Linked DNA regions of Macaca fascicularis. The protein of the gene in region 2 purifies or fractionates together with the protein of the main gene of each other region. This does not show direct contact. Links are inferred from orthologs where the notes say so. Each region holds a gene or a part of one and is shown on either strand. Other genes may lie near its edges.

Region 1 (3,858 bases), on a different chromosome or scaffold from region 2:
GCAGTGAGATGAGATCTGAGATCACTCCACTGCACTCCAGCTGGCCCACAGAATGAGACCTTGCCTGAAAGAAGAGAGAAGAGAAGAGAAGAGAAGAGAAGAGAAGAGAAGAGAAGAGAAGAGAAGAGAAGAGAAGAGAAAATGATTCCCCTTAAAATGAATGTACTAGTCAGTAACCACTATCCCAAAAGCAGACCAGGCCACTCAAATGTAATTTGACTAGGAAGTGGGCAGGCAGGGCTTGTGTTACACTGCCCAAGACAATGATGAATTAATCTAATCTCATGGCACAGTAAAGCCATGTAAAGCCTGGCAGGATGAAAGTCCAGAAGGCATGCTCAATTCTCAACAGCAGTATCCTTCTCTTCAACTTTGGGAGAACACTAGGAGGGGGCAGAAGCAAATGGGATGCCCAGCAAGCATTTCTGGAAGATTGAAAGGCACCCTCTCCTGGAGTCCACTGAGGCAGCAGCAGCAGGATCAATGGCACCCATGCTCAATCTAAATGGAAAGCCCTAGATTCAGTCCCACTGCTCCCTCCAAAAATCTTTTTCCATTCCCACCAGCTTGGCCTGGTCTCTGTCCTCCTAGGAGTCTCCTCAAGCCTCTGCTGTGCTTTGCTAGGAGGGGAACCTTCCTGAATATCCATAGCCTGTTGGAATTCTACCAGCCCCTGTGGCCTAACCACTTATATCTTCCACAAAACTGTCCTTGAGACTCAATTAACAGCTTTTTCTGACTACGCTGACTACAAACGCATTCATGAACTGGACCACTCCTTGCAGTCACTAATTATTTATGATCTTTAAACATTTCTTTAAAAAGATATATTTTTCGGCTGGGCGCAGTGGCTCAAGCCTGTAATCCCAGCACTTTGGGAGGCCGAGACAGGCGGATCACGAGGTCAGGAGATCGAGACCATCCTGGCGAACACGGTGAAACCCCGTCTCTACTAAAAAATACAAAAAACTAGCCGAGCAAGGCGGCGGGCGCCTGTAGTCCCAGCTACTCGGGAGGCTGAGGCAGGAGAATGGCGTAAACCCGGGGGGCGGAGCTTGCAGTGAGCTGAGATCCGGCCACTGCACTCCAGCCCGGGCGACAGAGCCAGACTCCGTCTCAAAAAAAAAAAAAAAAAAAGATATATTTTTCATTTTGTAGAGACAGGGTCTTGCTTTGTTGCCCAGGCTGGTATCAAACTCCTGGCTTCAAGCAGTCCTCCCACCTTGGTCTCCCAAAGTATGAGCCACCATACCTGGTCAAAGGTTTCTAACTGACTTGCTCTCATTTGCTTTGAGAATCATTCGCTTGCTCTTCTATCATTCATATGTTTAAAGCCCTACCAGAGTTCCGATGTAGTGCACTCCATATGGATACTTTGTCTTTCGATGCACATAATCTGTTTTCATAGCTAATGTATTCCTTTAATAGATTCAGTATTTTCTCTCTGCGTGTGAATGACAAAAGTATTTACCTTGACCGTAATAGCACCTGTGTCACCCCTAGGGCTCACTCCAAGTGGGCTCCAATGGAAACAGGCTTAAGGACTATGGCAGAAACTGTCAATTTTCCTCAGCATTCTTTTTCTCCTTTATCCTTTTAGTCACTGACACTCACTGCTCATCCTGCACTCCACCCCTACTCCATGCCAATTTTCAATTGCAAGTAGAAACTTCCAGGCTCCCTTGCAGCTAGGTGTGGCTGTGTTTGGGCCAGTGGTATGTAAGTGGAGGTGATATATGCAACTTCTAGTCATTTGGCCTCCACTTCCTCTCTTATCCCCTTCCCCCATCTAGGATGGAATGTAGAGGTGGTGGTGGTGAGCTGGCTAGCTTAGAACACGCTGATGAGGGCAGCCCCCAAGGTCTTGCTACTCTGCTTATGGTCTAAGGAACTGCAACATCAGTACCCCCTGGGAGCTGGTTAGAAATGTAGAATCTGGCTGGGTGCGGTGGCTCAAGCCTGTAATCCCAGCACTTTGTGAGGCTGAGGCGGGTGGATCACCCGAAGTCGGGAGTCCGAGACCAGCCTAACTAACATGGAGAAACCCCATCTCTACTAAAAACACAAAATTAGCTGGGCGTGGTGGCACATGCCCATGGTCCCAGCTACTCAGGAGGCTGAGGCGGGAGAATTGCTTGAGCCCGTTAGGCGGAGGTTGCAGTGAGCTGAGAGATAGCGCCATTGCACTCCAGCCTCAGCAACAAGAGCGAAACTCAGCCTCAAAAAAAAAAAAAAAGAAATGCAGAATCTGTGGCCCTATGCCAGACCTCCTGGATCAGATTTCCCAGTTTACCAGAGGCCCAGATGATTTGTATGCACTCAAGCCTGGGATGCCTGACTTGAAGGATGAAAAGAAACAGAAGAAACCTGGGTCCCCTGTTGACTTCATGGCCTTCCCATCTTAGACCATTTACCTCTGAAATGTTCAGTAAGAGACAAACTTCTATTTTATGGAGGCTAGCATAACTTGGGAGTCTCTTTCCTGTATCAGCTAACCTGTATCCTTATTAATATAAGAACAAAAATAACTTCCAGGAAATAAACCTCCTCCATTTTTTTAAGTCAAAGGCTGAGTCACCTGCCAGCTGGACTTACTTAGCAAAGCAAGAATTCCTCCAAGAATCCCCAGAATGGCAGGAATTTGCATTCCTGCTTCGACAAGCGGTGCCTTCTTACAGATGCCGGCGGCCCCTTCACAGTCACACACGCTGACCTCTAAGGTGGTCACTTGGTCTTTCTTCTGGTTATCCATGAGTTTGAGATTGATTTTGTAGTCACCCACCTCTAAGGCTATCTTTGGCTTCAAAATGATAGATTCTTGGGCTGGAGAAAGCAATAAAAAGAAATGATGAGATCAGGGGAGAAAAAAAAGCTCATTCCAGAATAAAATTGTTAGTGAACTAAAGGCACTTGAGTGCCTTGAGTGAAGAGAGCAGAGCTGCTTGGGTTTTATCTAGGTATGTACTTTTTTTTTTTTTTTTCTGTAAAAAGGTATGTACTTTCTTTTTTTTTCCATTTGGTCTAAGGCTTGGGAGAGGGTTCTAGGGTTGCTTAAAAAAAGCTGCCTAGTAGCTGGAGGGAGAGGCTCAGGCAGAGTGGGGCTCTTCAGATGTCACTGGGTTCGGTAGGCTCCTGATTGTGCCTGAGAGTGAACCTTTTCGCCCGGCCTGGCCTGGAGGCTGGCCAGCCTGCAGAGGTTGGTCAGGTGGTCACCTATCTTCTTGATGAGTTTCACTTCTTCATCTAGGAAGTGGCTCTCCAGGAAGTCACAGAGATGGTGGTCTGTGCAAGCGGAACCCAAAGCATGAAGATCCAAAAGTGCCCGGTTCAGGTTCTTCTCCAGGGCCAGAGCGACTTCCATCGCGCCCAGGGTTTTACCCCATTCATCTTAACATGGCTTCTGGATGTCCTGGAAGACAGTGCGGCCGCCACACTGGTTTTGCATTTGTAAGGGACGCTCAGCGCCCTTGTGCTTCTCTTTGGCCAATTTGTGGAAGAACTGGCACACGCCTTCCAGATCCACATCACTGCGGTGGAAATAGAAGCCCAGAGAGAGGTAGGTGTAGGAAGCCCACAGATGCAAATTGACCAGGCAGTTGACAGCTGCCTCCACTTCGGTAGAATAGTGCTGACAAATCTGGGAGCTCATGATTGGCTGGCAAGAAGGAGCTAAGCACAAAAACGGTGTTGCTTGGTCCCAGGAGCAGGAGGTGGCAGAGAAGATGGTCCCAGAGGTTGCAAGTGGAGAGGGGAGTGGAGGGTGGCTAGAGGCTGGGAGAGGGAGCCCTGCTTGGGTTTTAGATTACTGGGTAGCATGCTACAATGTTAGATACCAGTAAAGGAAAAAGACCTCTGGAG
Region 2 (4,594 bases):
AATGCTGTCCCTGAACATTTTATCCCCAGCCAAAAGTACTTCTTCACCATCTAATGATCTCTAAAATAATATCATGTATATGGTACCCAATTGCTATATTGCTTATTAAATCAATTTTTGAAAGGCTTATTTACAACTTCATCCAACACTCCTGTGAAGTCTTGCTTCACCCGGGAATAATTGCTAAATCTATATAAAATCTCTTTGCTTCTTTTTAAAAAACCAATTTCATCAGATGACTTTTCCAAAAAGCTCTCACTGAAGTCACTTAGCCTAGTGTGTCTTTCCAAATAGTTACTATTAAAAATAAAGGAACTGACAGAACTTCTGCCTCATATTTGAGACTTTTATAAGGACTCAAATATAAAGTAATACTCTTCTGAGAAGTGGTAATTTGAGATGGAGTTTTAATTTAGGCATATATGGTATATCAGCCTGGCCATTCTACGTTAAAACTTTAAAGAAAAAAAAATGCAGAAAACAGTTGTTCATCTTTTCTGTGAACTTCTTCCTATGCCTAGTAATACCATCAACTCTGAGGCATTCCAAGAAAGAACAATTTTCCAACTTACTCTCACTGCTTTCCAAATACATGCAATCAGTCATCATAGTTTTTTGTTTTTGTTTTTTTTTAAATAAAGACAGTATCTTATGTGTCTGTCCTATTTTTATTCTCTTCCTAATTCTTTCCCATTTGCAGCACTATCCCTGATCATTGATCTTTATCATTGTAGTTAAAGTTGCTTGTTCTTCTCACTGCTCCAAATCCCTTCTTGAATGGCTTCTTCTTATACTATACAACCAAAATTTTTACCTAGTTATATCCTAAAACTTTCTACCACTATCTCAAAAATCTAATGGACAATGCTAGTATGAAAAAGAAGCAAATTTGACATTTAAGCCTTAAAAATATTGAAGTGTGTTACTGCTAAGAGTACTTTAAGGGCAAATAGGAAACCTAATGGGTACTATCTAGAAATAGGATACATATTCCTTTTCTTTTCCATGCTTTTATTATTTATTTATTTATTTATTTATTTTGAGACGGAGTCTCACTCTGTCACCCAGGCTGGAGAGAAGCGGGACCATGTCAGCTCACTGCAACCTCCATCTCCTGGGTTCAGGCAATTCTCCTGCCTCAGCCTGCCGAGTAGCTGGGATTACAGGCGCCCACCACCACGCCCGGCTCATTTTTTAATATTTTTAGTAGAGACGGGGTTTCCCCGTGTTGGCCAGGCAGGTCTTGAACTCCTGACCTCAGGTGATCCACCCACCTCGGCCTCCCAAAACGTTGGGATTACAGGTGTAAACCACCGCGCCCGGCCTTCCATGCTTTTATAAAGTCTGAAATTATTATTAAATGGTGGTTATCGTCTATCAGTGCAACTAGTTTATCACTTTAGAAGACTTCTGGGGCCAGAGAAGGCAAAAAAAAAAAAAAAAAAAAAAAAAAATCATTATTAAAACAAAATTACAAGAATATGCAACAGAAATTAAATAACTTGAGTAATCTGCTTATCTATTTAAGTTCATGTTAGGCCTTAAAAAATTATATAATTACCTCATCTACAGCCAGAATAAAAAAAAGCCTTAAAAGAAACTATGCTGGTAAAAAGAAATAGCTCTAGAAAAACCGATACAACTTACAGACAGGAAAATTTCATAAGATACAATCTTAACGTTTTATTAATTCAAACACTAATAGCTGCTATATGTAAACAGCTGGAGAAGAAGCCAAACTAGAAGAAATGAGTATTTCATGCTGTTTAGAAAAATGAAATAAATATGAAAGCAGTGACATAATAAAATATTTACTATTTGATACCTCAAGCCTTTTAAGGGCAATATGAAGGAATTTCTAAAAATCGGTTTGCTTTATAACTTCAAAATAAAGTCCAAGACTCAATGACAGTGGTTGATAGAAGTCAATTCTGATCAAGTCAAAGATCACATGGTGGGAGGAAGTCTCCCAGACCTGGTCCATTACCAAGGCACAAAAGATTCAGTTTCTCCAGATGTCAGAGGGGAAAATGACTTGGCACTGCATCACAGACTTAAAATCCAATAGGGTTCCTTTAATGCAACACAGCACTGTGCGTCAAAGCATACCTTGGTGTAAGGGCAGTGAAACAGACACAAACACCACTATTTGTCTTTCATTTCCTGAATGCCTTATAAACATGCACAACAAAATGCTCCTGATCCCCATCAGAGAGGATGAAAACAACCCAGATATGCCCTTTCCACCTCCTCCCCTGGTATTGGTGCTTGCACCTCAGCACTGAGGCTTGGAGTTGTCTTCTCAAACCATCATTGTCCGGTGGGAAATTCACCGAGAAAGGAAACGTGGGAGAGGAAGTCTGTTACCAAAATAGAAATTAGTATTAAAGATACCGATCCTACTCTCCCTCCACTCTCTCACATAAGACAAAAATAAAAAAACCTCCGCAAACTTGCCCTACCATCGCGAAGATCATACAAGCTCCGATCAAATGTGCTTCTCGATCATCTTTTAGGCAAGAGAGCGCCTGGGGTGCGTTTTCGGCCCCTCATCTCCCAACCCCAGTCAAGCCAGGCCCCTGGGCTGACAGGAAGGGCTGGCCGGACGTTGGCTCGGACGGGAAAGACGGTTATTCTCGCCGAAGCCGCTCACACTAAGGGTGAAGTAACGTAGGGCCAGAGGTAACACGGCTTAGGCTGCGGGCAAGGCCTCCGAACTGACGGAAGATAGGCAGGACTCGGCAGCAAGGGAGGCGGTAGAAGCAGCCGGGCCTAGGCCGCACCAGGCCGCGGAGTGGCCCTACGCTGCTTCCCGACTGAGGCTGCAAGCCAAGCCTCAGAGAAGAGGGTTATCATTACCTGAACGGGTTCCTGCAGCACCGTCATCCTCGAGGCTTAGGCCCACTTTCTGCAGTGCCTCAGGCCCCCCCGGTAGCGGCTCCGGCCCGGCCAGCCCCGGCTCATTTAAACTCACCAGCGACCGTTACCGGGGAATGGGGGAGGCCGAGCGATTGCCGAGTGCTTCCGAGCGGGACACGGAAATTCCCGAAGTGGAGAAAGCCGAGCGGGAGCCAGACGGAAAAGCCCGAAAGGGGTCGGAAATACCCGAGGTGGGTCGACGAGAGAGAAAAATCGTTGCCGGAAATTGTCGAAGATTCCCGGAAACTACCGAGTCTAACCCAAAGCGTAGGTTTTCTTCTCAGCCACGCCTTCAGTCACGCACACCACGCCCAATCGGCCGTCCCAGGGCTGGGCCACGCCCAATCGGCAACCAGCAGGCTGGGCGTGGCGTGACTGAGCGGCCCGGGAGCGTTACGTGGCGGGGCTGCAGGGTGGATTCGCCACTCAGCCCTTCTGGGTTAATTGATGTGCTGTAGATTATAAAGCAAAGGGTGAAACAGCAGAGTTTGGGGCAGACTTTAATGAATCAACAAGTATTTGTCTATTGAGTTTAGATCATTCGTCCTTTCCAGAAGTATCTACTCACGGCTCTGGGGAAAGCTAAAGAAATTTGGAAAGATTGCCACTCCAAAGATATTAGGATAGCTTCTGTCCTCAAGGAGGTTAAGGTCTATTTAAGGGAAAAGCAGTGTAACAGAGAACGCTATATTATGTGGTGCCTATTATAAGTAATATAAAAATTCAGAGAGGGAAATTGTGTTAAGATGAGGAAAGTTTTATGGAAGGAAAAAAAAGTTTAAACTGGAGTTTGAAGGATGGGTAGAATCAGAGGAAAAATAAGTATAGGAAAGTGAAGGAAGGAAAAATGAGATCAGCCTGCTGAGAAGGCATTAATTGGAAATAGTTACTTAGGTGAAGAGATCATGGAAAAACTCAATAGGCCGTTAGAAATTTTTATTTTTGACAGGCGAGGCATTCCACTGTGGTGGGAAGAGTAGGGGGTAGGAAATTCAGAGGCCTGATTTTGAATTGTATCTTTAGCACTAACTAGTCATAGGTCCTTGGCAAATTACAACCTCTCTGAACTTGTGTTTGCTTAGTTTGAAAAAAAAGGATTAAGGGAATTTGATGTATTACAAGTGTGGCTGTGTCTAGCACGCAATGTAGACTCTCTTGTATTTCCTTTCTGCTCTTCCTCTCCTCCGAAGGAGAGTGAACTAGGGAACTGTTTAAATTTTGTTTTTCAGCAGAAGAGAAAAACGGTTTTTGAAGGTTACTCTTCTAGTCAGGAGTTCTCTAGGCTAGATGTGAGACTCATGATATATTCCATTGCTTGGAAATTTCCCTTTGGGTGATGTTGGAGGGAGATATTTTTTCTTCCATTTTTAAAAACAAGGCTGACAGAGCTACACTGCATCTTTTTCCACCGCCTTCTCTTGTCACTGTATATGTACTTACAGCCCCTCAGAGGGCAGGTGCTAAGGTGATTTTTGGCTGCCCTGTACCCAGTTGCTTCAGTGGTATTATGCTGGATGATTTGAGTGGTAACAGCCTTTTATGCTGGCCTAGAAAGTAATCATTAGCAATTTAAAGTTTAAGTTAAAATAAAATGAAAAATGAAGTTCTTCAGATGCCTTAGCCACATTCCAAGGATTCAGTAGCCCTGTATGTGGCTAGTGACTGCCATACTGGA
Region 3 (4,553 bases), on a different chromosome or scaffold from region 2:
TGAACTTTGGGGGATACATTCAAACCACAGCAAGCTCTATGGATACCGATCTGTAAGAGGCACAAAAATAAAAAATGATGCTAATTAACATAGCCATCTGCAGTGCCTTACATAACTTTTGAAACCTAAAATTGTCCTATTCCCCTGAGGTAAGACAGTACCCTTGAATGTTAATTTAAAAATTCTCCTGGTTGGCAATTCCAGTTATCTTATGTTATATTCAGTGCATGTAGTAAGTCCCTTATTTTAACATAAAGAGCTTTTAAATTCTTATTAATAGAAAATCAGGTTTCTTTTAATCCTATGCCAAATAGATATTTAAAGAAAACTGGCCTGTTTATGCATTGCCAAATTATTAGCTTTCTGGTAATGTACGTATTTCTCCAACAAGCCCTGGATGGAGGCCTCTAGGTGCTCCTTCCCTGGTAAACATGGGACTGTTCATTTGGCTGGGTAAGCTGGGAAAGTTGGTTTGTGTGGGTGCCTAACAAAGAATCTGTGTTCAATGAAGTATTGTCAATAGGGTGAATTATGTGTTTGGCACACATAAACGGGACAAGATGTGTAAAGTGCTTGGTCAGAGAGCGACTGTATTTCTTCTTCTTTTTTTTTTTTTTTTGGAGACTGGGTCTCACTGTGTCACTCAGGCTGGAGTGCAGTGGCGCAATCTCTGCTCACTGTAACCTCTGCCTCCCGGGTTCAAGCAGTTCCTCATGACTCAGCCACCCAAGAAGCTGGGATTACAGACATGCACCCCCATGCTCGGTTAATTTTTTTTTTCTTCATTTTTAGTAGAGACGGGGTTTCGCCATGTTGGCCAGGCTGGTCTTGAACTCTTGGCCTCAAGCAATCCCAATCCGCCTGCCTCGGCCTCCCAAAGTGCTAGGATTATAGGCGTGAGCCACTGCGCCCGGCCTAATTTTCGTATTTTCAGTAGAGACGAGGTTTGCTATATTGCCCAGGCTGGTCTGAACTCCTGGGCTCAAGCGTTCCACCCACCTCGGCTTCCCAAAGTGCTAGGGTTACGGGCGAGGGTGAGTCACGGCGCCCAGTCTAATTTCTAATTTGTATTCAGCTCTCAGCGTGTCCTCAACGTGACCCCACCCAGGTTCAGGGTACTGGAACCTGAGCGAGGAAGGCGTGTTCCGGGGAGAGTAGGTAGTGTGAGGGGCCAGAGTGCAAAGGTCAGAAGGCATTTGGTGGAAGCTGTGTGCAAAGAAGCCTGAGGGGAGGTCCTTCGATCTCGGTTACCTTGGCGATCTCTACCAGAGGGTTAGAGTTGCCAAGAGGCGCCTGCTGCCGCTTCCTTTCTCCCGCCCTCCCTTTGGTTTAGCTCCGCCCCCTGCTCCCACAGGTTAAAAGCAGACGCCGACGCGGCTGCCTAGTGACACTTTTCCCAAGATGCCTAGGGTATTGTTGTGTTCTTCTTAGCCAATCAGAGAGGCGAAGCGGGCCCACCGCCTGCCAATAGACTGCGAGATCAGGGCCCGCGACAGTTAAACGGGGCCGAAGGCAAGGGTGACTGGTTAGCGCTGCTCGGGGGCTTCTCCGTGCTGGTCCCTGAAGCTCCCGGTCCCGGTCCCTGGAGCTCCGCATTTGGGGGCGCAACCTGCGTGAGGCAGCGCGACTCTGGCGACTGGCCGGCCATGCCGTCCCGGGCTGAGGACTATGAAGTGTTATACACCATTGGCACAGGCTCCTATGGCCGCTGCCAGAAGATCCGGAGGAAGAGTGACGGCAAGGTGAGCGTGGTCCCTTCCCTGTGCCAGCCCCTGCTTAGGGGCGAGCGCCCTGCGCCACCGAAGGGAACCGAGAGGGCTGGTGAAGTGGGTGCCCGGAAGACTCAGCCGTCTTTACTGAGTCTGCATCTGACAGCCTGTCCTGGGTCGCTTAAAGGATGGGAGACCGCGTCTTTTGATATATGTATTTCCATCTTTTCCCGTTTCTCTCCCCATTTCTCTCTTCTGTTTTGGGTTGCTAAGGACCTTCCATTGGTGACACGTAGCTAACTCCTGAGCTGTTTTTAGAGCTCTAAGAGTGGCCCTCTCAGACACAAGAAAGGGGCAGGACCACCAGAACCCGAAGCTTTGTATCTGCAGTCAGACTCCCTCAAAATACCCATTATTCGGATTATTGGATTCATATTTCCCAATGTATACAGGTAGACCTTTTACAGAAAGTAATATTGGACAGGAAACTGCCTGGCTGCTTTTCCAAGGTGTCTCATCCTGGGAAAACACGACTGAGGTGGAATGGGGCAGGGACTTTGACCACCTCCACCCCAATTTTGACTAAAGTACCTTTTTGCCAACTTCCCACTAACCAACTGAGGGTAGGGGTTGGGGGAGACCTCATGTGCCTTATTCCCCTTTATCTCCCTACAACATCATTTACTGCTTAGAAATTGAAAGAAGATTATGGAAGTAAACTCACAGTTCTTTAAGTTCATTGAACTAAATTAGATAATGACCTTGATTGTAGGATATAATTAAAAGGAAGGTTATTTTTTAAATCTTGGAACTTTCATTCTTTGTTTTTGAGCGTAATGAGTTCATTCATACCTTGGAAATTCTTATTTTAGATATTAGTTTGGAAAGAACTTGACTATGGCTCCATGACAGAAACTGAGAAACAGATGCTTGTTTCTGAAGTGAATTTGCTTCGTGAACTGAAACATCCAAACATCGTTCGTTACTATGATCGAATTATTGACCGGACCAACACAACACTGTACATTGTAATGGAATATTGTGAAGGAGGGGATCTGGCTAGTGTGATTACAAAGGGAACCAAGGAAAGGTAAGCATAATCTTTTAAAAATGTAAGCTGAAATTAGGTCTACTTTCATTTATTTTAAGCATCTTGTTTTAGGATCAGTAATATGGAAGAGTATACTTGCATTTGTTTGGTAGGTCCATAGTACTTTAGAAAATTCCCGGTGAATCAACACCCATATTTTATATCAAAATAACAATCTATAGGCTGAGTGTGGTGGCTCACACCTGTCATCCCAACACTTTGGAAGGCCGATGCAGGAGGATCACTTGAGCCCAGGATTTCAAGATCAGCCTGGGCAACATAGTAGGACCCTGTTTCTACAAGAATTAGCCAGGTATGGTGACATGTGCCTGTAGTCTAAGCTACTTGGGAGGCTGAGGCAAGAGGATTGCTTGAGCCTGGGAGGTCGAGGCTGCAGTGAGCCATGATCGTGCCACTGCATTCCAGCCAGGGTGACAGAGCAAGGCTCTGTCTCAAAAAATATAAATAAATAAATAAATAATTTATTTCCCTATTAGTACACTGGATAATTTATATCATCCCATCTTGGCAACGATTTTTTTTTTTTTTTAGAAGTTATATGCTGTATAACTGCTTTGGTTTCAGGCAATACTTAGATGAAGAGTTTGTTCTTCGAGTGATGACTCAGTTGACTCTGGCCCTGAAGGAATGCCACAGACGAAGCGATGGTGGTCATACTGTATTGCATCGGGATCTGAAACCAGCCAATGTTTTCCTGGATGGCAAGCAAAACGTCAAGCTTGGAGACTTTGGGCTAGCTAGAATATTAAACCACGACACGAGTTTTGCAAAAACATTTGTTGGCACACCTTATTACATGTCTCCTGTAAGTATTTCAGAATTTAGATACTTTTTAAAACATCTTTTATTTTTGTTTTTTTGTTTGTTTTTGAGACAGAGTCTCGCTCTGTTGCCCAGGCTGGAGTGGAGTGGTACGATCTCGGCTCACTGCAACCTCTGCCTCCTGGGTTCAAAGGATTCTCTTGCATCAGCCTCCCGAGTAGAGTAGCTGGGACGACAGGTGCATGTCACCATGCCCGGCTAATTTTTGTATGTTTAGTAGAGACAGGGTTTCATCATGTTGGCCAGGCTGGTCTCAAACTCCTGACCTCAAGCAATCTGCCCACTTCAGCCTCCCAAATTGTTGGGATTATAGGCGTGAGCCACCGCTCCCAGCCAAAACATCTTTTAATGTTAAGCATTCTGAAGCAGGGAAATTGAGTTTTCTGTTTGTTTAAGAATTGAAAATACTGTTATATTTTTCCACATGGACCACCAGACCAATAAAGTCTATGAGTTTTTGTTTGCTTCATGAATTATGTGTAATAATGTAAGTATGATGAAGACAGATTCCTACTCTAAGGTTTGCTACTGTTTGTCATCTCTCAGTGGGTTCAATTTTTTGAGCATTCATGCAAATTAAAGCATATTCAGTTCAAGCTTTTATGGAATGATTACAATGCATTAAACTTAAGGATTACAAAAATGAAATGGATTTTGTCCCTGCCCTCAAGAGCTGTTTCCAATGTGTAGGTCCTGGTCATCTGCATCAGACTCACTTGGAGTATCTGTTTAAAATGCAGAGTTCTGGGTGCTAAACCAAACCCAAATCCGTCGAGTGAATTTCGATCTCTGGGTAGGTTCTTGAACTCTTGTTTTTTGGTTTTTTTTTTTTTTTTCTTCAATATTGTACTTTTTATTTTAGACTTTGCATTTTAACAGACTCTGTAAATGATTCTTGTGCATGCAGAATC
Region 4 (3,420 bases), about 20 Mb from region 2:
TCCCAATAAACTCTTCATATATACTCTTCATATAGAGAGTCCTGTCTCTCCAGGGAATCTGACACAGATTTCAGGGGAGGCCTGGTCTACTCCCCAGGGTGCTGTGAGGAAGGAAGTGTCAAAAGGCTCACACTGGGCACAGGGCATTGGCCCCATGAATGCCAAGGGCTCCCCAGGTTACTAGAGATACAGCCTGCGCTCTGTCCAGAAGCAGCCTGAGACCCCAGGGCTGCCGCTCCCCCAGTGGCCCCTTCCCACAATTGTGGGGAGCACAGGAGCCTCCCAGGGCCACCCTTTCCTAGGCAGGGAAGCCTCAGACATGTGTGGACACACTTCCCAGTGTCAGGACACCGATCCCTACACTGTGGGAGGCCCAGCTCCACCGAGGAGCTGCAGACAGTCCCAGTGAGAACACGGACGCCTGCTTAGAGATGGTGGCCTTCAGTCTGGGGGTACCACAAGCAGCAGCTGCCAGCTGTGCACAGCCAGAGTCCCTCAGAGCCAGCCCGAGGGAGGGTCCAGGGCCGCCCGGCCATCCAGCAGGCAAGAGCATGCCTCAGGCCCTACCGTCTGATCCCGCGCCTTCTCCTCCCAGCTGTGACTCAGGGTTTGATGAGTGCCTTGACAGCGTTTCACGGAGATGTTTATTCATGAGAGTTTTCATATCAAAACACACCGAGACCGCATCAATATGCTGAGAACACAGGCACCCAGCGGCCTCCAGCAAGATTTGAGTAGTTTAATGAGTTTTTACTTATTGGATAAAAGTGTCAACATAGTGATGGGAAAACAAACGCAGCTCCAGCCCTTGTTTCCACCTTGTTACAGCCCAGGGGCGCTGTCCCCAGCAGCAGCTACCGCAGCCATCAGCGCCAGCATGAGGAAGGGGCCGCGGGACACCCCCTCCAGCGAGGGCCAGGCCGGGCCTCACTCCTTGAACTTCCATTCCTGGCGACACATGGGGCAGTGCTGCTGCACCTGCTGCGCGTGCAGCCACTTGAGGATGCAGTGCATGTGGAAGCAGTGGGAGCACTGGCCCCACACCAGCGGGCAGTCGTCGCCAGGCACCTTGCCTACAGAGGGGAGGCGGGGAAAAGGACAGGCATGACCAGGCTGGACACAGAGCATGTGACAAGCCAGGCAGGGGTGCAGGTTGGGACCCTGGGCAGTGGCTCCAGCCCTGCAGCCTCTCATGTTTCACAGAAGCCGAAATCAGGAGAGTTACCCAATCGGTCTCCTGACCAGCCTGCCCCCAGGCGAAGACCAGCAACTATGCCAGACATGAGGCCTCCACCCCAGGCAACCACGCCCAGGCTCAGGCTCATCATGCTCAGCGGGGAGCCCAGGGACCCTGCTGAGGAGGCGGCATCCGGGAGGAGGCACTCTGGTCTAGACCACTGTCCCGTGCTTGAGGCTGGGGAAAAAGGGCATCGTCTGACCTACAGGCCCTGAGCCCACCTGCAGACACTTGATCTGTGATGCCAAAAAGGTCACATGAATGGTCAAGGCACCAAGGAGACACACATCTGAGTAGTGAACTGGTCTCTTGATCAAGGGCATGAGGGGTGGGGCTTGGGGACCTAGAAGACCCTTCCCTAGACTTCAGGAATCCGGGGTGCCGCCCGGGCACTGGGGACGCCATGTTGATGGGCCCTGCCTCCCAGGACAGGCACAGGCTGCGGGCACCAGCCCAAACACCTAGAAATGCTTTCTCCATGGAGAGGGCCTGACAGAGAGGGATACTCATATAAGCCATGATCAAGAGAAACAAGTGTCCCTGATCTCCAAGAGCCTGGAAAACCCCATGAAACAGCTGCTGCCAGCAAAGCACAGCAAGTCCCAGCCCCAGCCCCAGCCCCGTGGCAGGGTCGGTCTGGCATTGTGGAGCTGGAGCTCGTGGCCGCCCTCCTGTCCTGGCGGCACCGGCCCCACAGCATGCCCACTCCCAGCCCTGGGAGGACCTGCCCATGGGGGCTTTCTAGCCTCAGCACAACTCTGCTTGAAATCACCCCTTTCAAATGAGAGCGAAGCCTGCGAGCCCCCTGAGGAGAGGGTCTGAGTGCGCAGGAGAGGCCCCGTTAGACAAAGGTGCCGCTTCGTTCTAGTGCGTTCCCCACCCGAAGCCAGCCTGGGGTGTCTGATGAGTCCGCAGATGCACTGAGGCTGACTCATTCAAGGACCTGCTGATCTCCTGATTGCATTTCTTTAAATTAAAACTCCTCTCCGCAAAACTGCATTGCCACAAGAGTCCTCTGGGATGCGGGATAGACTCACTGTTTACCAGCCTCGGGCTCCCACGGTCTTTGTTGAACTTAGCCACTCTGAATTTTTCAAAGGAGTTCAATTTTAGCAAAAGAAACCTGGTGCTGCTTAGCCCAGAAGCACATTAGACTTGTCAAACGCTTTGCACGTTAACACTGACTCACTATAACTTAACCATCAGCAGGTCCAAAAATCAGACTCTCAACTCCTTAGTGTGCAGCCAACAGGCCCCATTTTAACAAAGTCTGAGGCACTGTGCCAGTGGAGAGATGCTGAGAGTTCAGGGTAGCACCCCTCTGGATGTCCCATCACAGGTCCAGCTGGCATGGTGCAGGCCGGGCTCTGCAGGCTGCCTGTGGACCCTCCACTGCAGTCAGTCGGGGGCTGCCTAGTGCCGCCTCTAATCCACAGGATTCACCACCCACATCTGGCCCACAGATGCAGCCAGACTAGGCGTGGACACATGGTTTGGAGGAATTTCAGAAGTTAACCTGCTGCTCCAGAAGTTGAGTGACTGCCCTCAGAGCACCCCGTGCTGTCTTTGTTACATCCTTAAGAGCAATTTAAAAGGGATCAAACAAAACCATGCCTTGTGAATGCCTAGTTATTAACCTAATTAGCTATTAAGTACAAATCCAATCAGGCAGAGTCAATCAATAATTTCCTAATATTACACCCTACCCATTTGATTAAATGAGGATTAATTCCTGAATAATAAGATTTCTGTTTAGCTAGAGCCAGTGTAAAAGTTAAGCCTAGAATAACAAGTATTTGTACTGGCCAGGCACCACGCCTATAATCCCAGCACTCTGGGAGGCTGTGGCAGGACAGAGTCAAGAGTTTGAGACCAGCCTGGGAAATACAGTGAGACTCCATTTCCACAAAAAAAAAAAAAAAAAAAAAAAAAAAATTAAAAATTTATGTAGTTTTGTTCAGGCATGGTGGCTCACGTCTGTAATCCCGGCACTTTGCTAGGCCAAGGCAGGCAGATCCCTTGAGCCCAGGAGTTCAAGACTAGCCTTGGCAACACAGCAAAACCCTGTCTCTACAAAAACTTAAAAAACAAATTAGCCAGGCATTGTGGAGCCTGCCTACAGTCCCAGCTACTTGAGAGGCTGAGGTGGGAGAATCACTTGAGCCCAGGAATTGAAGGCTACA
Region 5 (3,000 bases), on a different chromosome or scaffold from region 2:
CCCTAGAGGCAAGTTGTTCTGTTTGTTTTTTGTTTGGAGTCTCACTCTGTCACCCAGACTGGAGTGCAGTGGCGTGATCTCCACTCACTGCAACCTCTGCCTCCCGAGTAGCTGAGATTATAGGCGCCTGCCACTATGCCCGGCTAATTTTTGTATTTTTACCAGAGACGTGGTTTCACCATTTTGGCCAGGCTAGTCTTGAACTCCTGACCTCGTGATTCACCCACCTCTGTCTCCCAAAGTGCTGGGATTACAGGCGTGAGCCACCACACCTAGCCAGTTGTTTTGTTTTGAATGTCATTTCCTCTAGCCTTTTTTAGGGTCTTGATCCTGTTCTCTGTTATATTTTCTGCTTCTGTGTTTTGATTTTAATTATCCCCATTGTTTTCATCTCTCCAGTTTTAAAGGAAGAACAAATTACCACCCAGTCTCCTCCTTTTCAGAGTGAAACTCATAAAAAGTTGTTGATAAATGCCAGGGATCACAAGGCCCACAGGCCGCATCCAACAGGTGGCCTGTTTTTGCACTGCCCACAAGCTAAGAATATTTTTACACTTCAGGTTTGTTTAAAAATAAGCAACAGAGACCTTGGTGGCCTATAAGCTTAAAATATTTACTAATTACTCTTTTTTGTAATTTTTCTTTACAAAGTTTCTTTACAAAAACTTCGCTGACTCCTGAATATGCTGTTTCAATTTCCAAGATTACTTCAAGGCTCAATCTGAGCCCCCGTTCTGTCTTTATAATTTCTCTATAGGTGATTTCTGACCTGTGTATAGCTTCACTAGCAACCTCTGTGTAGTCAACTCACAAACTTATATATCTATCCCAAAGCCTCTTTCTCCAGACTCATATATTCAGCAGCTATATCTTTATGTAGCTATCCCAGAGATAACATATACTCAAGCATACTAAAAATTAAATTTAGGATCATATCCAAAACTGATACTCTTTAATTTTCTCTCTGTCAGTGGCTAAACCGTCCAAACAGAAATAAAAGAAACTTGGAAGCTGTCCCTGAATCATGCTTCTTCCTTACTACCATGACTAAACCCAATAAATTTTAACCATGAAATCTCTTACATTTACCTACTGCTTCGTCTCTACCAGTTTATCCTCCTACAAGCTTTCATTAACTCTTGCTCGAATTACTGATGGACCAACTAGTGTCTCTAGATCCCCTCTTTAACATCTCCAGTCTACTTTCCATATCACAGCTAGAATGATAGTTTTGAAATACAAGACTAATTGCTTTACATCCTGCTTCACACACAGTAATGACTTCACTGGTCTTGAAGTGCATATTTTTTAAATTTGATCCACCAGGCTTTGCGTGGTCTGGCTTCTATTAATCTTGCAAGGATTGTATTGTTTTATTTTGTTTGTTTGTTTGTTTCTTGATTGCACTTGTAGTGAGCTGCTTCCAGTCTTCTAGTTATATGCTCTTCCCTTGTGAGTATTTGAGGCCTGTATCTTCTTTCCTATCCTTTTGCATATTTAATGCTGTTTATCCCTAGAGCTAAACTCAAACCTTTTCTGACCTCCGTAAGTGGCTCAAATTTTCCTTCTTTTATGCTCTCATTGCATCTTACATCTCTCTTTCATAGCAGCCATTACAATGATAATTTGTCATTTATTGGTGTGATGAGTAGATGAATGCCCATCTCCTATGCTTTTATCTTGGATTAGGATGAAAGTACCATATGTTCAGTATTCTGTCCTCAGCACCAATTACTGTACCTGGTACAGATACTGAGAATTTGAAAACAGAAGTTAGAGTATTGATGGTGCAAATTTTCTTGCACGTAGGAGGAAGTCCAAGATAGCAGTGGTAGGAATTTGCTGAGGATAGGGAGTAGGACCTGAGAAGAGAGCTACTTTATGATGCAGTGGACCAAGAAAGATGCCTTCATTTTTATGTGTTGCAGATTGGTTATACAAGTGTTCAGTTCAGAAACTGGTTGTAGTTATCTCAAATATTGAAAGTGGTGAGGTCCTGGAAAGATGGCAGTTTGATATTGAGTGTGACAAGACTGCAAAAGATGACAGGTAAGTAGGAATTACATTATTTCTACTTTGATATATTTTTTCAAAACTTGTTTTTATTACCAATTGAGTTCTAATTATATTGAACTAGTTTTATATAAAATATAGTTTGTTTCTAATTTATATTTTCTAAGATATCCTCAGTCACCTGTGGAAAAGAATTGTCGGTTTAACATATCATTGATTTGTATATATATAATTGCCTTTAGTCTAAATCAGCAATTTTCAAACAGTATTTATGGTGGTATATACAAAACTACACATGATATACTAGATGAACCATTTAATGAATTGTTCTAAGATGTTTTTAACTATAAGGAATTATATTAGATTCACACAATTTATGATGTAGCTCTGCTGTACTTCCTTTAATGCCATCTACTTCCTAAGACACTTGATAAATTTCTGAAAGTTCCAGACTCCCTGGAAGAGAAGTGTCTGTCTTTATACTCTAATGTTTAGCATTGTCCTAGGCATGCTTTTCTATAAACTGGGAACCATTTCTTACAGTGAAATGTAGTTTGCTTCTGAAGGCTTTGGTTTATTTTAGGAAATTTTTAGCTTATAAAATAATTTGATACACAATTTAATGTTTTATTTGAGAAAATAGGAATTTAGACATTTAGGCATTACTAAAAGTGCCAAAATGATTATACCAATTAAATATTTTAGATAGCATTTGTTATTTTATTTCAAGAGATGCTGAAGTTTCCTGAACTTGAAATGATTGGCAGATTTTCTAGTCATCTGATACTAAATGACCTGACACTAAGACCAGCTCTAAAAGATGCCTGGCAGGATAAATGAAGTAATGAGGATGTATGTTGTGCCTACTAGGTTATAGGTCCAAAGGATACTTTCATTCACAGTTTTTACAAACCTCCTTTTTAAAGCACTGCTTATTTGATGTTGAGAGCATTTAATCAAATAAATAATCTTACCACTATGTTTGAA
Region 6 (4,574 bases), on a different chromosome or scaffold from region 2:
TTAAATTTAATTTGGCCTGACTTTAATTTTCTATTTTTACCTCCTATTGCTTTCCTAAGAAATTAGTCTGTGAAATGTCTAAAACACACATTTTCATCTGTGGCTTTGCAGATACATTCCTCGTGCCTGAGGACCCTATTCTTCCTCTAATCAACAAATAAAACATTTGTGTTTTATCATGCTAGTATTCCTATGATGCCCAGCATGCATTACAGTGTAGCATAGTGAATATATAAATTCTCACCTAGAAAGAAACTATAGTTTCAAGCACCTTTGAATCTTCCTCAATACTTAAAATACTCAATTGCCTTGATGTACAACCTTTGTTAGTGTGACATAATTAAGTACAATTATACTCTATTAAGATTTTGCTTAACACCAAAACTATCATTTTCTAGGTTTTTTTCAAAGTGAACACAGTCAGCCACCATAATTAGATCACAGGTTCTTCCACTTATTTTCAATTTCTCATCTATTTAATGGTTAGTATACATGTAACAAAATTATCCAAAGGTCACCATTCAAATGACCAACCATTTGAAATACAGTAAAGAATCAGGCTTCTGAGCTAATACTTTTAGAAGAGCTAGAGTATTAAACTCTGGGCACCTTCACCCATTAATCATTGTTCAATAAATGCTTAAGTACCTACCTACCATGTGCCAGACACCAAAGTTCTGTGGATATAACAGATAAAAACCCTGCCCTCATGTAGCCTACATTCTAGTGGAGGTGAAAGACAATAAACACATGAGTAAATTATAAAGTGATTAGTACTACTTCCTTACCTTAGAGGACACCCAACAAACAGTTAATAACTTAAAAGAAAAGAAAAACTCACCTGTAGTATCAGCAGAAATTTTATTCAAGCTTAGTTCATCAGTAAGGTCTTCATTTTTAAACTTATTTTTAATGTCTCTCACTTTGTTCATTATGGAATCAATTGTCAATTCTCTGCCACTTAAATCCTCGGACTCCATTTCTAAGAAAAAAACTGAACTAGTCATAATTCCTATTTAGCATCAAAGAAAAAAAATGTGCTAGCTTTTTAGAACCCAGACGACTAAAGCATTCGTTTTGTGAACACATCTAAACGCAGCTATTACTAGGCTAGTATTAATGGAGCTAAGTGCACAACAACAAGGTACACATCTTTGTAATTTATTCAGCAAGGTTTCATAGGCCAAGTACACTTTTCCCCCCAATATAACATCAATGACGTCATACTCTAGAAATCACTCTAGAAATCTGCAAATTTAGTGTCACTTAAAAAAATATGATGGAGTGTTTGCTTGGATTCTGGAAGCTACATACACATAAAGATTGCTTGGATTCTGGTAGTGACACAGGCAAAGAATTTGGCAACGAGAATAACAATTTTTTTATTCGCCTGCTTTACGTGAGTAAATCTTCACAGTGCAAGTGCTTTCAAAGCAAAATATGAATATGATGGGGCTTTACTGATAATTAAGAAATCCACAGGTTTATTCTTGTGCATATCTAGCAGAATCATGATTTGCTACCTTAATCCAGCACTAAGAAACTACTGTACTGGTACTGAGCACTTGCTTATCTGCATGGTGGTGGTGTTTGTTCAATAAAGTGTCTGCAGTCTTACTGTTAATCGTATCTCTGTGCCTCTCAAACACCAGCTCAGTGTGACTGATAACAATGCTGCCCCGTCTTCGGATTTAACAATGAAGAAGTCATAAAGTTGCAGCAAGGTATCACTCCACCTTTTAAGAGAGGTTTGAAAGGTAACTGTCAGATCACGGCCACCCCTTTCTTTCCCAGTTCCAACCCGCAAAACAAGAGAGATCGTCCTTGGAAAACGATCTTGTGCGCAGGTACCCCACCACCCCTTCTTTCCAGCGTGGGCCACACCCACTTCTTACTTCCTCAACAAAACCTCCAGCATCACCCCACCGGCCAGACGCGCTGAGGCACCGAGCCTCCCCTCCCCCTCCAGCTTGTTTAGCCGCGTCGCATATCCAGCTGCAAGCTGCCCCCACCTCGCCCCACCCCTCACCGACCGGCGTTGACAATGAGCCCCTACACCGGCTGCGGCCGTTCCTCAGTACGCCGGTGCGCCGGTGGGTGAGAACTTACCTACTGGAAGCGGCGCTGAAGAAATGAAAAGATGGAACCTAAACTCCTTTCCGCAAACACGTTTGAATTTCCCCGTCGCTATCTCCACGGTCTCCAGTTGGTCAATGCTAGCCACGTAGAAGCGTCTGTCGTGATTGGTTCGTGTGCGACGGGGCCGCCCCTCCCCCTGCGTCGGGCGAGGCCCGCCCCGGAAGAGCCCGCGGCGGCGTTCGCACCCGTGAGGTTCCTGGGTTGGTAGGGTGCTGGCACTTTGCAGGCGTTCTCCGGGCGCCAGTGGGCGGGCTTTCTTGCTCTTTCCAGTTTAACCAGGCGGAATTTCTGCCTGGGAGGTAGCCACTCCCGGGCAAACCTACCTGGTGAGAGGAATATAGGGGCGGGGACGGCTGCTCCCATCATCCGGACCTAAAAGATGCACCTTGGGCCGGCTCTTTACTGACCTCACCGCCACCCTTCTCCTTCGTTCCACGCGGTACTCACAGCCTGGCTTAGAGAGGATGTGGCAAGAAAGGATCTTTTAACTGGGCTACGTTCAGCCCTGCCGCCAGCTCAAGAATTTCAATGCTTTTTATCCTTACGCTTCCGCTTATGCCCTTCCATTATCCTTAAATGACTCCTTGCGTTATCTTCAAGCCAGGACCCTCCCCCTTGTCAAAATTCTGCGCAGAACTCAAGCGCCCATCATGATTGCCCTGCCTGAACTCGCCTTATCAGCCCCCCTCCCTCCGAGCCTGCCCCACTTAAGGGCTCAGGTGTCCTCAGGGGTAAAAACATCTCCCTAGTAATCTTCGCGGGTGCGAGGCTCTGCTGCTAAGTGGCTTTGTGGTCCAGGGCAACAGTTACTCCTCGTCTGCAAAACTAAAAGGGATGTGTCTGTTGTGCCAGCATTATGACATATGTTCGGTGGTAGGACGGGTTGGTTTTGTGTATGTATAGGAAACTAACTGCAGCTGTCACTTGTTAACTCTAAAGCTGTCCTTAGAACCCTCACATTCCCAGCTCTGGATAGTCACCCAGTCAGCATGAGAGCCCTTCTCAATCACTTAATGCATCTTTCTGTGTCAGCTAGCTGGTATTTCTGCTTCAGCAGAGCAGAAATGACTTGCTATACCATGGTTGGCTAATCACTTACCTTTGCACCATTGCATCTAATGCTGCTTTTGCCTGGAAAGAGTTTATTATTCTTTCAATTCTCGTTGATCTGTTTGCGGCCTGATCTCAAAGCTTGCATTTTCCTGAAAATACTGTTGCTGGGCGACCTCACCCTAACACTTCTTTCTGTACTCTCGTTTGGTAGTCTCCTTCAGTCTTCTATCTTTAAATACCATCTATATGTTGATGGCTCCCAAATGTTTATCACCAGCTGAGCTCTCCTCAACTCCATACTCAGATATCCACTGCCTACTTATTATCTTCACTTACATGTCTCATACGCATCTTGAACTCAAAATGTCCAAAACCAAGCCCCTGATATTCCTACCCAAACATGTTTTTTACAAAATCTAAAAAGACAAATTCATTATCCTAAATTTTTTAGCCTCAAAACCTTTGTGTCATCCAGATCCCTTATCTAATTCATAAGCAGATTGAGTCAGGGCTAGCACAAGAGATTCCTGGACTCCTACCAGTTCTCCCCACCTCCACTGCCACCACTTTAGTCCAAGGCACCTTCATCACTTACCTGATGTTACATGCAGTAGCCTCCTGGCTGGTCTCCCTGCTTCTGCCCTTGCCTCACCTCAATTTATTCTCTGACATAGCAAAGTCATCTTAAATCAGATTATGTCACTACTTTGCTCAAAACCCTTCAGTGCTCCCTTTCTAGCTCGGAATAAAACCAAGAGTCCTTATGATGGTCAGTGACTGTTGAGCACTTGAATATGTCTAGTGCAACTGGGAACTGAATTTTTAAATTAATTAACCTTAATTGATTAAATTTAGATTTAAATTTGAAAACTGATATCTAATGGGATTATTTTAAAACTTTTTAAAGTAATTTTTTTAATTTTTTCTAAACTTGCATTAGTCATGAATTTATTGGAAGACTTTTAAGTATACTTGGAACAACCTAAGTATATGAAACTAATTTTTCAACTGTAAATTTTGTGAGATGCAAATGCAGATGAAGTATTTCCAATGAAAGTGTCTGAGTAAGAAATGTGATGTACTGTTAAGTATAAAATACACTCTGGATTTTGAAGACTGAATAAGAAAAAGTAATAAACATTGATAATTTTAAAAATATCAATTACAGGTTAAAATGATATTTTTGCTATATTGAGTTAAATAAAATATATTATTAAAATTAATATACCCCATCACAGACCAGAGGAGACTAAGAAGACATGACAACTAAATGCACTGTGATACCGTAAACTGGATCCTGAAACAGGAGGATGACATTAATGGAAAAATTAGTAAAATTCAAATTAAGTCTGAGGTTTAGTTAATGATAATGCACCAATGTT
Region 7 (4,578 bases), on a different chromosome or scaffold from region 2:
AATCTGAATCCAAATGTACACTGAATTTTTGATAAGACTGCTCACTCATAGAAGCAAAACTATGTAACACATTGTAAGAAAAAGGCTCTCTGCATGATTTTAAGGGGGTAGGCAAAATACAGCCTTATAGATGCAAGTTTAAGAATTGAAATTCTGCCAGGCGCAGTGGCTCACGCTTGTAATCCCAGCACTTTGGGAGGACGAGGGGGAGGGATCACAAGGTCAGGAGTTTGACCAACATGATGAAACCCCGTCTCTACTAAAAATACAAAAATTAGTTGGGCTTGTTGGTGTGCGCCTGTTATCCCGGCTACTCCGGAGGCTGAAGGAGAACTGCCTGAACCCGGGAGGCGGGGGTTGCAGTGAGCAGACATCGCGCCACTGCACTCCAGCCTGGTGACAGAGCGAGACTCCGTCTAAAACAAAAGAACTTAAATTTTTTGACATTATAAAACTGATGATATTCAAGTTTAGGAAAGTATTCATTACACAAAGAGGTAAAGATGGGTTCACAATTTGCATCTTACCAGAGGTTATATTAATATTTCCAGCTTCGATCCCTGCTTTAAGTCCTTCTTTCCCCAAAATCCCAGACTCTCCTTTGGCCAGACGCTCCCTCTCCTTCTCTTCCAAACTTCCATAATAGATGTGTGGTTTCTTCACAACCGGAGCAACTAAGTCATCGGGTGTTTTAGTTTTGGTTGCCTGCCAAATCAAAAATCTGGATTAAATTGAGGTTTAATCTTGGCAATTTACCGGATTTCCCGAGGATGAAGCTCGCCCTGAGTTTCACAGTCCTATTTCCTTCATAATTGAAAGGACAAATTGGACACTACTTAAGATGTTCTTCATCGATTTGAGGTGAAGGGGAGGGTGTTTCAGTCCCTCACTTTAGCTGACGGGATTGATAAAACTAGTGAGGTTCTCTCGAGTATTTTCATATGAAAGGTTTGCTCTGGAATCTGTTTACTTTATTCTGCTGGAAACGTGGAATCTCGTGTTTTACGATGTATCCAAGATTACTGCTCATCACTGGGGAAATACTAAGGATAGATGAAATAACCAACGCGGTGCTAAAGGATAACAAGTTACAACATTACGAGTGTATACATTTCAAACGTTTCTAGACGTGAGGTAGAAGTTAGTAGGTCTCATTAAAATTTTGAGATCTGCCAAACGCATAAACCTTGGCCAAGACACTTCCCTATTTCAGAGCACCGTTACTGGATGAGTCGGAAGAGATGTTTGCCCTTTGGGGCTGTAGTGGGAGAGGTGCAAATAAGCTACAGTCCACGAAAGCGCTTAGGGGTCAGGAAAACGGTGGTCCGCTGTGTAGAACACCACTGAGTCCCGCAGCCTTCCTCCTCAGCCCTCCACCGCCTTCTCTCGCTCCCTAACGGCCCCTTCCCGCAGAGATCCTCTTCCCCCTTCGCGCTCCCTGCCAGAGTGAGTTGCGATCCCGGGCTCTGTACCGTGGAGGAGGTTCGCGAGGAAGCCATGCTGGGCTCTGGAGCCGCGAGGCCCCAGCGAAATCCAAGCTCTCCGTTTCAGACCTTCCACCGCGCGCCCAGCAGAGCGGAAGTGCGTCACTGACCGGAAGTGTGTCGCAAACAGGACATGGGCCAAGAGCCGTCGCTGCGCCCGGAGCGGCGCGGAGCATGATGGAAGTCGTAGTAGGAAATGGCGTCGTGGCATTGAGGGGCATCCCTCCTAGAACCTCCAAGAAAAGCTCGCGGAAGACGAGGTTCTGCTGAGAGAGAGGCTCCAAGCCGTCTGGGAAGTGTAGTCCAGTTGGCGTAGCAGTAGTTTCGTGGAGGGGAGCCGAGGTTCCGGGAAGGGGCTGAGCCGACTTGAAAAGAGGTAGGTAAGTCGACTCGCGCGGCTCGGGGCTGAACTCTGGAGCGAGTCGAGGGCTTCCGGGGCCCGCTGTGCCTCCCCGGGCCTACGGGGGCGTTTACGTCTTCTGGGAGCCGAGGACCGTGTTACCATAGAAACCCTGGGATCCGAGGTACAGGCCTGGAGCTAGGGGACGAGGACTGTTCTCTTCCATGGTCCGGAAGTCTTCCCAGGGGCCACCTATGAGCTTGATGGCTCGGCGGTGGATTTGGGCTGCAGCGAGAGATTAAGCTAGAAGAGCCCGCTGGTGCCAAAGTCAAATAAAGACCCGGCGGAGGAGCTTCGGCCTGATTTTGTTCATTTGTCTTCAGCCTGGTCTTTGTATCAGATTGAGAGTAAGATGATGGTTAGGAGGGTGTCAGGGAACTGTACGTCTCTCTGCCCTGCTGGATGCTGGGGTATTAGAGACGAACAGCATAAGGTTTTTATCCCCACGTGGACGGTGGGAGATCCTCAAAATATTGACGTTTCCGTAGCTGGCCAGATCCTCATCCAACCCCCTAGAAAAATTACAGCCATAATAGGTGTTATTTATTGAACATTTATTAAATGCCAAGTAATGTTCCAAGAGCTTACTCTGCATTACGTTATTCACTTCCTACAACAGCAAAGTAGGATACAGATGAGGAAACTAAGGCCTAGTTAGAAATGAAACTAATTGTTCAAGATCAGTGGCGCAGTGGGATTAGAACCTGTGCCCTTTAACCTCTACAGCCAGCACTTTTAACTGCTACTCTATACTGCTCCGTAGTGGCCAGTTTTTCGCAGTTTGCAGAAAAGGTAAAATGTATAGTAGACCTTTTTTTTCCTTTTAGGTATCCCTATCCCTCTCTTTCCCTCTTTGGAACTTTGGCTTTCTCTACCATTTGTCTGCATTGGAATCTGGTAGAAGATAATGCCTGATTTAGTACAAAGCAATTTGAAATGTAATGTGCCAGTGTTTTGTGTTGATAATATCGCCTGTAATATCCTAAGCTTCATGGGAGAAGGAAATATTTCTTCCTTTGTATACTTCACAGTCCCTAGTTTCATCCTAGATACATGTAATAATTTGTATCTCTATATACTTTCAAGGAGTTTTCACTTCCATCATTCTCACTTAATCCTTATCATGTTGACCTGTATAATTTTTATAGGAGGCTAAAATTATTAACCAAACTGAACAGCTTGCTTCGATGACTTCTTTATGTGTGAAATAGGAATCATTTTGTCAACTTCACAGGTTTTTGTGTTAAGAATGTAAAGAATGGGAATGGAAAAAGAGCACAGTGCTCAAGAATGATCTCACCTTTTATTCAACAAACATTTACTGACTGTTTTTATAGATACACTCTAGGGGATGCTGTGGAGAATATACAAATGATGCCATCAACAGATATTAAACTCAATTGGGGGAGTTGTGTTTTCTCAAAAACAAAACAAAACAAAACAAAATGGTTTTTGTTAACACAGTATTACCTCGGGATTTCAGGCTGTGGAATGCTCTTTTGAACCTCTTTTCTTCTTCTTTTTTTTTTTTTTCTGAGTTGGGGTCTTATGGTGAGATCATGGCTCACTGTGGCCACCTCAAACTCCTGGGCTCAAGTGATCCTTCCATCTCAGCCTCCTGAGTAGCTAGGACTACAGGTACACACTACCAGCCTAGCTAATTTTTTTACTTTTTTGTAGAGACAGGGTCTTGCTATGTTGCCAAAGCTGGTCTTGAGCCTCCTTGTGCACTCTTCTCTCTGCCTGCCCTTCAGAAGTCAACTAAGATATCATTTTCTCCAGGAAGGCTTGCCTGACATCCTTGTCCACCCCACACTCAGCCCAGACTGGATTAGGTGCCTGTGTGATGCCAGTGCCAGTATCCTCATTAGGGTTCTCGTTATATGATATCATAGTTTTCTTTATTTTCCCCACAGATTATGACTGTACCTTTTAATTCTGTAGCTGGAGCACAAGAAGTGTTTGTTTAATGAATGACGTACACACATTTAGGATCTGTTTGGACGCTGAGGATAATCCTGTGAATTGGTGAGTTGGAGTCTTCATGAGATTTAGCAAACTGATTTTAGCATTCAGGAGTGATCACAAATCTCTGACAGTTCTCACGTAGAGTAGATTAAATTCACTGGTTTGTCCACTTTCTCCTCTAACTATACTGAGATGTGATAGTTTATTCTTTTAGCTAGAGTATTTCTTTGAATGTGACTAGAACATGAGATTAAAGTGATAGTTTGCTATTTTAAATTCTTACTGAAAGAGTTTTTGATTTTACAGAGCTGTAGATCTCCATAATGTAATAAAAATGTAATAATCATATACCTAAAGACTTTAGAAGTTGGCTGGGTATAGTAGCTCTTGCCTATAATGCCAGTACTTTGGGAAAATGAGGAGGGAGGAACACTTGAGCCCAAGAGTTTGAGACCAGCCTGGGCATCAGAGAGAGATCCCATTTCTACAAAAAACACAAAAATTAGCCAGATATGGTGGTGTACACCTGTAGTCCCAGCTACTCTAGAGGCTGAGGCAGTAAGATTGCTTGAGCCCAGGAAGTTGAGGCTGTAGTGAGCTAAGGTCATGCTACTGTGCTCCAGCCTGGGCAAAGAGCAAGATCCCATCTCTTAAAAAGACTTTAGAAGTCTGTGTGAATTCAAATAAAGTTTTAATACTTCCATTCACTTTAGTACACAGGCTTGC

The links.
Region 1: the proteins of CDC27 (region 2) and CDH1 purify together in Homo sapiens (affinity purification with western blotting; 4 studies listed by BioGRID and IntAct, with this or other methods). This does not show direct contact. The link is inferred for Macaca fascicularis from reciprocal best matches to the Homo sapiens genes CDC27 and CDH1.
Region 3: the proteins of CDC27 (region 2) and NEK2 purify together in Homo sapiens (affinity purification with mass spectrometry; 6 studies listed by BioGRID and IntAct, with this or other methods). This does not show direct contact. The link is inferred for Macaca fascicularis from reciprocal best matches to the Homo sapiens genes CDC27 and NEK2.
Region 4: the proteins of CDC27 (region 2) and anaphase-promoting complex subunit 11 purify together in Homo sapiens (affinity purification with mass spectrometry; 8 studies listed by BioGRID, with this or other methods). This does not show direct contact. The link is inferred for Macaca fascicularis from reciprocal best matches to the Homo sapiens genes CDC27 and ANAPC11.
Region 5: the proteins of CDC27 (region 2) and MAD2L1 purify together in Homo sapiens (affinity purification with western blotting; 29 studies listed by BioGRID and IntAct, with this or other methods). This does not show direct contact. The link is inferred for Macaca fascicularis from reciprocal best matches to the Homo sapiens genes CDC27 and MAD2L1.
Region 6: the proteins of CDC27 (region 2) and TTK purify together in Homo sapiens (affinity purification with western blotting; 3 studies listed by BioGRID). This does not show direct contact. The link is inferred for Macaca fascicularis from reciprocal best matches to the Homo sapiens genes CDC27 and TTK.
Region 7: the proteins of CDC27 (region 2) and CDC26 purify together in Homo sapiens (affinity purification with mass spectrometry; 12 studies listed by BioGRID and IntAct, with this or other methods). This does not show direct contact. The link is inferred for Macaca fascicularis from reciprocal best matches to the Homo sapiens genes CDC27 and CDC26.

What each region holds. Positions count from the first base shown.
Region 1 is NC_088394.1:64,908,636-64,912,493, reverse strand, and holds part of CDH1 (cadherin-1), read right to left. Parts: intron 2,824-3,858; coding exon 2,596-2,823; intron 1-2,595.
Region 2 is NC_088390.1:68,162,311-68,166,904, forward strand, and holds the start of CDC27 (cell division cycle protein 27 homolog), read right to left. Parts: upstream 3,010-4,594; 5' UTR 2,887-3,009; coding exon 2,860-2,886; exon of another isoform or gene 2,633-2,859; intron 1-2,632. UniProt on the Homo sapiens protein: Component of the anaphase promoting complex/cyclosome (APC/C), a cell cycle-regulated E3 ubiquitin ligase that controls progression through mitosis and the G1 phase of the cell cycle.
Region 3 is NC_088375.1:69,485,782-69,490,334, reverse strand, and holds the start of NEK2 (serine/threonine-protein kinase Nek2), read left to right. Parts: upstream 1-1,498; 5' UTR 1,499-1,646; coding exon 1,647-1,742; intron 1,743-2,581; coding exon 2,582-2,799; intron 2,800-3,384; coding exon 3,385-3,625; intron 3,626-4,553. UniProt on the Homo sapiens protein: Protein kinase which is involved in the control of centrosome separation and bipolar spindle formation in mitotic cells and chromatin condensation in meiotic cells.
Region 4 is NC_088390.1:88,277,687-88,281,106, reverse strand, and holds the end of anaphase-promoting complex subunit 11, read right to left. Parts: intron 1,074-3,420; coding exon 928-1,073; 3' UTR 725-927; downstream 1-724. UniProt on the Homo sapiens protein: Together with the cullin protein ANAPC2, constitutes the catalytic component of the anaphase promoting complex/cyclosome (APC/C), a cell cycle-regulated E3 ubiquitin ligase that controls progression through mitosis and the G1 phase of the cell cycle.
Region 5 is NC_088379.1:125,166,396-125,169,395, reverse strand, and holds part of MAD2L1 (mitotic spindle assembly checkpoint protein MAD2A), read left to right. Parts: intron 1-1,928; coding exon 1,929-2,049; intron 2,050-3,000. UniProt on the Homo sapiens protein: Component of the spindle-assembly checkpoint that prevents the onset of anaphase until all chromosomes are properly aligned at the metaphase plate.
Region 6 is NC_088378.1:95,143,954-95,148,527, forward strand, and holds the start of TTK (dual specificity protein kinase TTK), read right to left. Parts: upstream 2,823-4,574; 5' UTR 2,110-2,822; intron 1,737-2,109; 5' UTR 1,619-1,736; intron 995-1,618; exon of another isoform or gene 983-994; 5' UTR 981-982; coding exon 842-980; intron 1-841.
Region 7 is NC_088389.1:44,823,995-44,828,572, forward strand, and holds the start of CDC26 (anaphase-promoting complex subunit CDC26), read left to right. Parts: upstream 1-1,670; 5' UTR 1,671-1,864; intron 1,865-3,800; 5' UTR 3,801-3,853; coding exon 3,854-3,912; intron 3,913-4,578. Other genes in the region: PRPF4 (U4/U6 small nuclear ribonucleoprotein Prp4), read right to left, coding at 528-705, 1,473-1,499. UniProt on the Homo sapiens protein: Component of the anaphase promoting complex/cyclosome (APC/C), a cell cycle-regulated E3 ubiquitin ligase that controls progression through mitosis and the G1 phase of the cell cycle.